2 linked regions of the Macaca mulatta genome follow. The protein of the gene in region 1 binds, or shares a complex with, the protein of each later gene. Links are inferred from orthologs where the notes say so. Each region holds a gene or a part of one and is shown in the gene's direction. Other genes may lie near its edges.

Region 1 (3,510 bases):
AAAAATAAAGATCAGGGAAAGAGGACAGGTTTGGTTTCAGTTTTAAATAGGATAGTCATAATAGGTCTTTGGAGAAAATGACATTTTAGCAAAGACTTGGAAAGAGTTAGCCCTATTGTCTGGTGGCAGAGTCTGTTGTATGTGAGGAACAGCGAGGAGGCCTGTGTGGCTGGACTGGAGTGAGGGAAGGGGAGAGTACAGTAGTAGGTGGAGAGGTAGAGTAAGGGAAGGTGGATGGTAAGGATTTTGTAAGGACATGGCTGTTACTCTTAAGTGAATTAGAATGTTACTGGAAGGTTTCAGTGAGACAAGTGGTATGAACTGATTTAAATTTCGAAAGGATTACTTTGCTTTCTTTGTAGAGAGCAGAATATGAGGAGGAAGCAGAGGTTGCTGAAACAAGGAAGACTATTTAGGGGGATATTATTATAATTCAAATGGGAGATAATGGTGACTCAGCCTATGGTGATGGTATTAAAGTTGGTGAGAACTAGTTGGATCTTGGATTTGTTTTGAAGGAAGAGTGTTAACAGGATTTCTTGACTCTGAGATGTGTGGTAGAAAAGAAAGAGGAATCAAGAATGACTCTCAAGATTTTTTGATGAGGATTCTGAAAGAAGGATGGTGATACCATCAATTCAGATGAGGAAAAGCTGCATGTGGAGCTGGTTGGACATGCCAAGTCTGGTATGTCTGTTAGACATTCAAGTCATCAATCTTAAGATGCTACATTTAGCATTTACGTAGTGTATTTAGACCAGAGGTATAATTAGCTCTTAGTCCAGCAGTCTCTGCCCTACCTGCTGTTTTACCTTTATTGTGCTTTGTTTTGCTTTAATAAGTAAGAAAAGTTTGAATCCAGAAGAAGAACATGAGAGTGGTTTCCAAATAAGATGAAGGTTGTTTGATAGAGTGATTTTTTTTTTTTTTTTAAAGTCTCAAAAAGCAGAGCTGGGATCAACAAATGGAAGTTGGAGAAGCAGATTTCAGTAAGGGTAAACTCTGAAAGATTTTACAAGAGAGCTGTTCCAAAAAGGAATAACTTAATTTGAAATTCTTTGCTTACTGTTTCTAATCGTATTTAAGCAGATACTGCACAACCATTTGCCAGGAATATGTCATAAAGAATGTTTGCACTGGGAGGTTAGGCCATGGAATTTTAGGAATGAGATCTTGGAAAATGTCTGTACCTGGCCGGGCGCAGTGGCTCACACCCATAATCCTATCACTTTGGGAGGCCAAGGTGGGCGGATCACCTGAGGTCAGGAGTTCAAGACCAGCCTGGCCAGCCTGGTGAAACCCATTTCTACAAAAATTAGCCAGGTGTGATGGTGAGTGCCTGTAATCCCAGCTACTCAGGAGGCTGAGGCAGGAGAATCACTTGAACCTGGGAGTGGGAGGTTGCAGTGAGCTGAGATCGCACCGTTGCACTCCAAGCCTGGGCAACAGAGTGAGACTCTGTCTCAAAGAAAAAAAAGAAAAAGAAAATATCTGTACCTGTTGAGCATTTCTGCATTATTATGTGAAACAGACTGATTTAGTAAAAAGAGTACTGGACCAAGACTTGAAAATCATGATTGTCACTTAGTAGCAGTATACCTTTGGTCAAGCCATTGAACCCTATCCAAGCTGTCATTTCTTCTTCTGAAAATGAAAGCCTGAACTAGTTGATTTTTTTTTTTTTGTTAGGTACCTTTAGATCATAGAATAGGGAGAACCATGGGGCCTTCTTTGCAGAAGATGTGGAACTTGAACTGAACATTAAATAATTAGTGTGAATTACTGGGAAAAGGAAGAAAGGTCACTTCAGTTCATTAAGTTTTACAACTCCTCTCCCCCACCAAATCCATGGAATTACAAACAACTAAGGACTATAAGTGAAGGCAAAGATGGGAGTGCCCAGAGCCTGCCCTTCGGCTCTTTTTGTTTAACTGTGGATGTACATAGTTTTTGAAATCTGCTGTAAGTGACTGGATGATTAGCATCCTTTAGATGTATATTTAAAATACTGCTATGTATAAGGTTCCACGTTAGGTCTTGAGAGCGCTATAAGGAGTTTTATTTTGGTAGAAGAAGCGAGTCCATACTTGTATTACTTAACAAATAATGTAAGAAATGTCAGTGAAAATACCATTGGGAATTTAACAGTGGAAAAGAATAGTTTTAGCTGGTAAGATTTGGGAAAACTTTGTGGAGGATAGTCTTTTGGAGGTAGACCTTGAAAATATGCAAACCTGGTAGAGAGAGAAGACATTTTGTAAAGAAATATTTTTTAACTATTTTAATGAACACAAGTACTAAAAGCTATAAAATAGTACTAATTACAGATAAATTTGTTTTTAAACCCACCTAGTGAGGTTTTTTGTTTTTTTTTTTTTTTTTTGGTGTGTGTGTGTGTGTGTTTGTTTTTGTTTTTTGGTGAAAAACTTTATTAAGAAACCAATTTTTAGGCCAGGTGCTGTGGCTCACACTTGTAATCCCAACACTTTTGGAGGCTGAGGCAGAAGGATCACATGAGGCCAGGAGCTCGAGCCCGGCCAGCACAACATAGGGAGACCCTGCCTCTGCAAAAACAGAATAAACCAGTTTGTAAATACAATACTGTAAATACTGTTTTGTTGAGGTGGGGGGGTGTGGGTGTGCGTGCGTGTGTGTGTGTATGGATGGATTTTTTGTTACTTGTTTTCTCTGTTTTCTGATTGTATCTCTCAATTTTTTAAATTTTGCTTTCGTTTAGATACACAGAAGTAAAAACAAATGGAAATTTCATCTCAAGGATGGCATTATGAATCTTAATGGAAGAGATTATATATTTTCCAAAGCCATTGGAGATGCAGAATGGTGAAGAGTTGCTTTTTTTCTTTTATAAATAAAAGAAACTTAAAAAAAGTTTAAAGCGGACAGTTTGAAACTTGGGGCATACGCCAACCAAAACTTCATTTCTGCATGTCAGAAAAGTGCAGTAGAAGCAAAGCTACTGGAACAAAGATAGACCTTGACAACATAGACACTACTTACTGGCAAGCCATGGAACTGTAGCACCTGGGGTTGTTGGGTGGGAGGGTTGGGGTTTTGTGTAGGAAAACCATAATTGTTGATTTTAAATACAGGTACCTGCCACCGGTAATTAGCATGTAAAGCTTTGTCTATATTCCTTCCTCCAACTTGGGTTCAATCAGAAGATACTTGTTGGAATGAACTGAAGAAACTTCGGTTTTGATAGATTGAACTGAAACTGCTTATTGTATGTGGTTATATTTGGTAAAAGTTGCGTGTGAGCTTTTTACAAAAGGGTAAGAATTGTGTTGAATTTTAATTCACTTGTATAAGAAAACAGTTTAAAACTCTCATAGTAGGTCTTAAATATTTTTACTTGCTATTCTCCCTCAGTGATATATACCTCTTCCTTTCCAGCTTTATGAAACATCTATTTAAGATTTAAAGTTATCAGTGATCATAGTTTGGAGATAAAATTTGACCCAGGAATGAATATTTATTTTAATTAGGTTT
Region 2 (4,158 bases), on another chromosome or scaffold:
GCGGAGTCACAAGCGCGCACGCGTACTAGGGCCCGAGGCGACGCGCGTGTTAGAACCGAGACGAAAGCGAGTGGGTACCTGGGAGCTGTCCTGGTTAGTTTTGCGTCTAATCTCGTGAGTTCTCGCGATTTAAGCGCCGAGACTGAGAACCTACTTAAAGCTATAGTAAAGGCATTGGAGGCACTGGAGGATTGAGCTAGATGGGCAGAAGAGAGCGATGAGCGTTTTGAGTTTTTTCACTTTCAGGCTTAACGCCTCACTGCTAGCCCAAGCCGCCCGTAATAAATCACATTTAAAAAGGAGCTTCCGGGCCGGGCGCGGTGGCTCACGCCTGTGATCCCAGCACTTTGGGAGGCCGAGGCGGGCGGATCATGAGGTTAGGAGATCGAAACCATCCTGGCTAAGACGGCGAAACCCTGTCTCTACTAAAAATACAAAAAATAAACCGGGCGTGGTGGCGGGCGCCTGTAGTCCCAGCTACTCAGGAGGCTGAGGCAGGAGAATGGCGTGAACCCGGGAGGCGGAGCTTGCAGTGAGCCGAGGTCGCGCCACTGCACTCAAGCTTGGGCGACAGAGCGAAACTCCGTCTCAAACAAAACAAAACAAAACAAAACAAAACGGAGCTTCTGGCCGGGCGCGTGGCTGGAACGGTAGGCGAGCGGGCAGCTCGCCTCTAATCCCAGCACCTTGGGAGGCCGAGGCGGGCGGATCACCTGAGATCGAGACCAGCCTGGCAAACGTGGTGAAACCCCGTCTCTACTAAAAATACAAAAATTAGCCGGGCGTGGTGGCGCGCGCCTGTAATCCCAGCTATTTGGGAGGCCGAGGCAGGAGAATCGCTTGAACCCGGGAGACGGAGGTTGCAGTGAGCCGAGATCGCTCCACTGCACTCCAGCCTGGGCAACAGAACGAGACTCCATTTCAAAAAATAATAAACAAATAAAAATAAAAATTGCTTCGTGTTTTGGTCTTTATAAAGGCAAATCAATTGAGCATCCCAATGTCGCGGATTCACAGAACGAGCACTTTTTATTAATAAGTATACTTGGCTTTGTTTTCAGGTGTCGTTATTTGTGCAACGACATTGAAAAACAAGCAGAAATAAAACATTAACGGGACGGATGCGACAGCAGATTGCGGGAGCTGTCCTCTCAATCAGCCACCGGCAGCGGCGGCCCACAATTTGCGCGTGTGCAACCCAACTCCCGCCCAAGCTTGCCCTACAATTTGCGCAGGCGCAGATCCTAACTTTGGCGTCCCTGTGGGCGGCCTCTTGTGTGAGACGCACAGTATTCTGGGAACGTCGGAGACGGAAGTTACTTGGTCTTTAGCTCCCGACGCTGGTGGCTTCTGCGCGCTTTTTGTCTTTGATTTCGAGTTAGGAGCTCGGGAACCGTTTGGCAATATGTACGACGCGGATGAGGGTAGGTGAAACACATGCCACGGCGGTCCAGCAGGGAAGCTTGGGGAACTGATTGGATTGATGATTGGGGCCTTCCCTCCCGCCGGCCGGACAGTCCCTAGCCTTGTTCCCACACCTTTCAGGCCGGGAACGAAACTGGGGTAGGGAGAGGCAGAGGGTGCAGGGAACACAGCGTTAATGTTCCCGGTTAGGTTCACTGCTGCTCTGCACTTTCTCGTTCCCTTAGATCTGATCCTCGCTTCCTGTAGTGAAGTAGCGTGCAGAACCGTAAGATAAATTCCGTGGTTTTGAATTTGAAGCAAAGAGCACCCTTTAAAATTTTTCCTTAAAGCCACAGTCGACTTACTGAATAGCTGAAGTGTTGAGTGTCAGCCTGTGTCAGGCAGTGTGGAAGGCCCTGGAAATATATCGGGACAGAGAATATCGGGGGGGAGGGTGGGAGGACTCGGTTTAGTCTGACATTTCTTCATGCTGTTTGTAAGTCAAAGTAAATTGTCTTAAAGGATGGCGTTTAAATTTCCTCTTCTCACAGTGTCACAGTTCTCACAATGTCACAGTTCTCAGATGATATGTATTCTGCTACACTGGACCAATGTATAATATCTGTTTCTTTGCGCATATGGAATTCTTAGTAGTGGCCGAGCGCGATGGCTCCCACCAGCACTTTGGGAGGCCGAGACGTGCAGATCGTTTGAGGCCAGCCTGACCAACATGGGGGAAATCCCGCATCTACTAAAAATACAAAAATTAGCCGAGTGTGATGGCGCGCGCCTGTAATCCCAGTTATTCGGGAGGCTGAGGCCACATCGCTTGAGCCCAGGAGGCAGAGGTTGCAGTGAGCTGAGATTGCGCCTCTGCACCACAGCCTGAATGACAGAGTAAGACTCTTGTCTTGAAAAAAAAAAAAAAAAAAAAAAAAAAAACAGAATTCTTAGTTGAATCTAGTGTATTTTCATAGCTGCCTTTTCTATTCTCCATATCTACTAATGCAAATCTTATTTTCTTCTAGCTCTCAATTCCTTGGCCACCCCTTACATCTCCTCTCTTTATTCCCTCAGCTACTTCTGATAAATGAGATGGAAAAAATTGAAGCAAAAGCTTAAACTTTTTAAAAAATTTTTTTTGAGAGATAGGGTCTGGCCATGTTGCTCAGGCTGTTCTCAAACTCCTGAGCTCAAGCCATCTGCCTGTCTCAACCTCCCAAAGTGCTGGGATTACAGGCGTAAGCCACTGTGCCCAGCCAAAAACTTAAACTTTTAAAGCTGTTTAAACTTCTGTCTCATTTATATCTTGTGTTCTAGAAATTTATTAGCATCATTATAGTACTTGTTCTTTTTAACTGTTATCTCAGTAGAAGAAAAATTCGAAAAAAAGATTTTTTAAAGCATAATTTTTGGCTAGGTAATACATTCTCAGCTCACAAGCCAGAAAGTTTAAAAACGTTAAAGTGGGGTGGCTGGTACAGTGTCTCACGCATGTTATCCCTGCATTTTGGGAGCTTGAGGTGGGTGGATCGCTTGAGCTCAGCAGTTCAAGACCAGCCTGGGCAACAGGGGAGACCCCCTCTCTATAAGAAATGGAAACATTAGCTGGGTGTGGTGGTGCTCACCTATAGTCCCAGCTACTTGGGGAGCTGAGGCAGGAGGATCGCTTGAGCCTTGGAAGTTGACACTGCTGTGAGCCAAGAACAAAGTGAGACCCTGTCTCAAAAAAAAAAAAAATTAAAGTGTCAGGTCTCCTTCTTACCCACCATCTGCCCAGTTTGAACTCTCCACAGTGGGTAACTACTGTTACAATAGATTTTAATCACTCCGCAGTTTCTTTTTTTTTTTTTTTTTTTTTGACAGTCTTGCTCTGTTGCCCAGGCTTGAGTGCAGTGGTGCAATCTTGGCTCACTGTAACCTCCGTCTCCCAGGTTCAAGCAGTTCTCCTGCCTCAGCCTCCCTAGTAGCTGGGATTACAGGCGTGCACCAACATGCCCAGCTAATATTAGTATTTTTAGTAGAGACAGGGTTTCTCCACGTTGGCCAGGCTGATCTCAAGCTCCTGACCTCAGGTGATTCACCTGCCTCAGCCTCCCAAAGTGCTGGGACTGCAGGTGTGAGCTACTGCGCCCAGCCTCCACAGTTTCTTTATGCATATTTGAGCAAATATAAATGGGATTTTTCTCCTTTTTTAAAGACAGAAAGTAATATTCACACTTTTCTCCACTTTTAGATTTTGCTTAATGTATCTAGATTTTTGTATCAGTACACAGAAAGCATCGCCCCCGCCCCTTCGCCCACTCCGCCAGTTACTTAGTTTGTGTGGATGTACCATAACTTAAGTAGTCTCTTGATGGATATTTGATTTATTTCTAGTCATTTTCGGGTTCAGTGCTGTAAATGAATAATCTTGTACATATAATTTGCCCAAGTATGTCTGTGGGATGCATTTCTACATATAAAATTGTCACGTCAAATGATACACACCTTTAACATTTTGCTAGATGATGCCAAGTGACCACCATAGTGGTGATTTGTACTAGTTTTGCAATGTATAATGATCCCGTGCAAAAAAGAGTTTATCATAGTTGCTTTAGCAGTGAGCCTACATTTTATTCTTGCCCATGTCCTCTGAAATGTTTATTAGATAATGTCCTCATCAGTTTTCAGCCACTATGTGAAAATGTCAGATTTCTGTCATCCACATGGAAACAAGTTAAACTTTTCATTTTTTCCTTTTTCTTCTAGTAT

The links. The genes of interacting proteins can lie anywhere in the genome.
Region 2: GTF2A1 (region 1) and POLR2B share a complex: the UniProt entries of both Homo sapiens proteins name them as parts of the TBP-based Pol II pre-initiation complex. The link is inferred for Macaca mulatta from reciprocal best matches to the Homo sapiens genes GTF2A1 and POLR2B.

Annotation. Positions count from the first base shown.
Region 1 is NC_133412.1:154,407,403-154,410,912, reverse strand, and holds the end of GTF2A1 (transcription initiation factor IIA subunit 1), read left to right. Parts: intron 1-2,737; coding exon 2,738-2,845; 3' UTR 2,846-3,009; downstream 3,010-3,510. UniProt on the Homo sapiens protein: TFIIA is a component of the transcription machinery of RNA polymerase II and plays an important role in transcriptional activation. TFIIA in a complex with TBP mediates transcriptional activity.
Region 2 is NC_133410.1:76,509,925-76,514,082, reverse strand, and holds the start of POLR2B (DNA-directed RNA polymerase II subunit RPB2), read left to right. Parts: upstream 1-1,355; 5' UTR 1,356-1,405; coding exon 1,406-1,424; intron 1,425-4,158. UniProt on the Homo sapiens protein: Catalytic core component of RNA polymerase II (Pol II), a DNA-dependent RNA polymerase which synthesizes mRNA precursors and many functional non-coding RNAs using the four ribonucleoside triphosphates as substrates.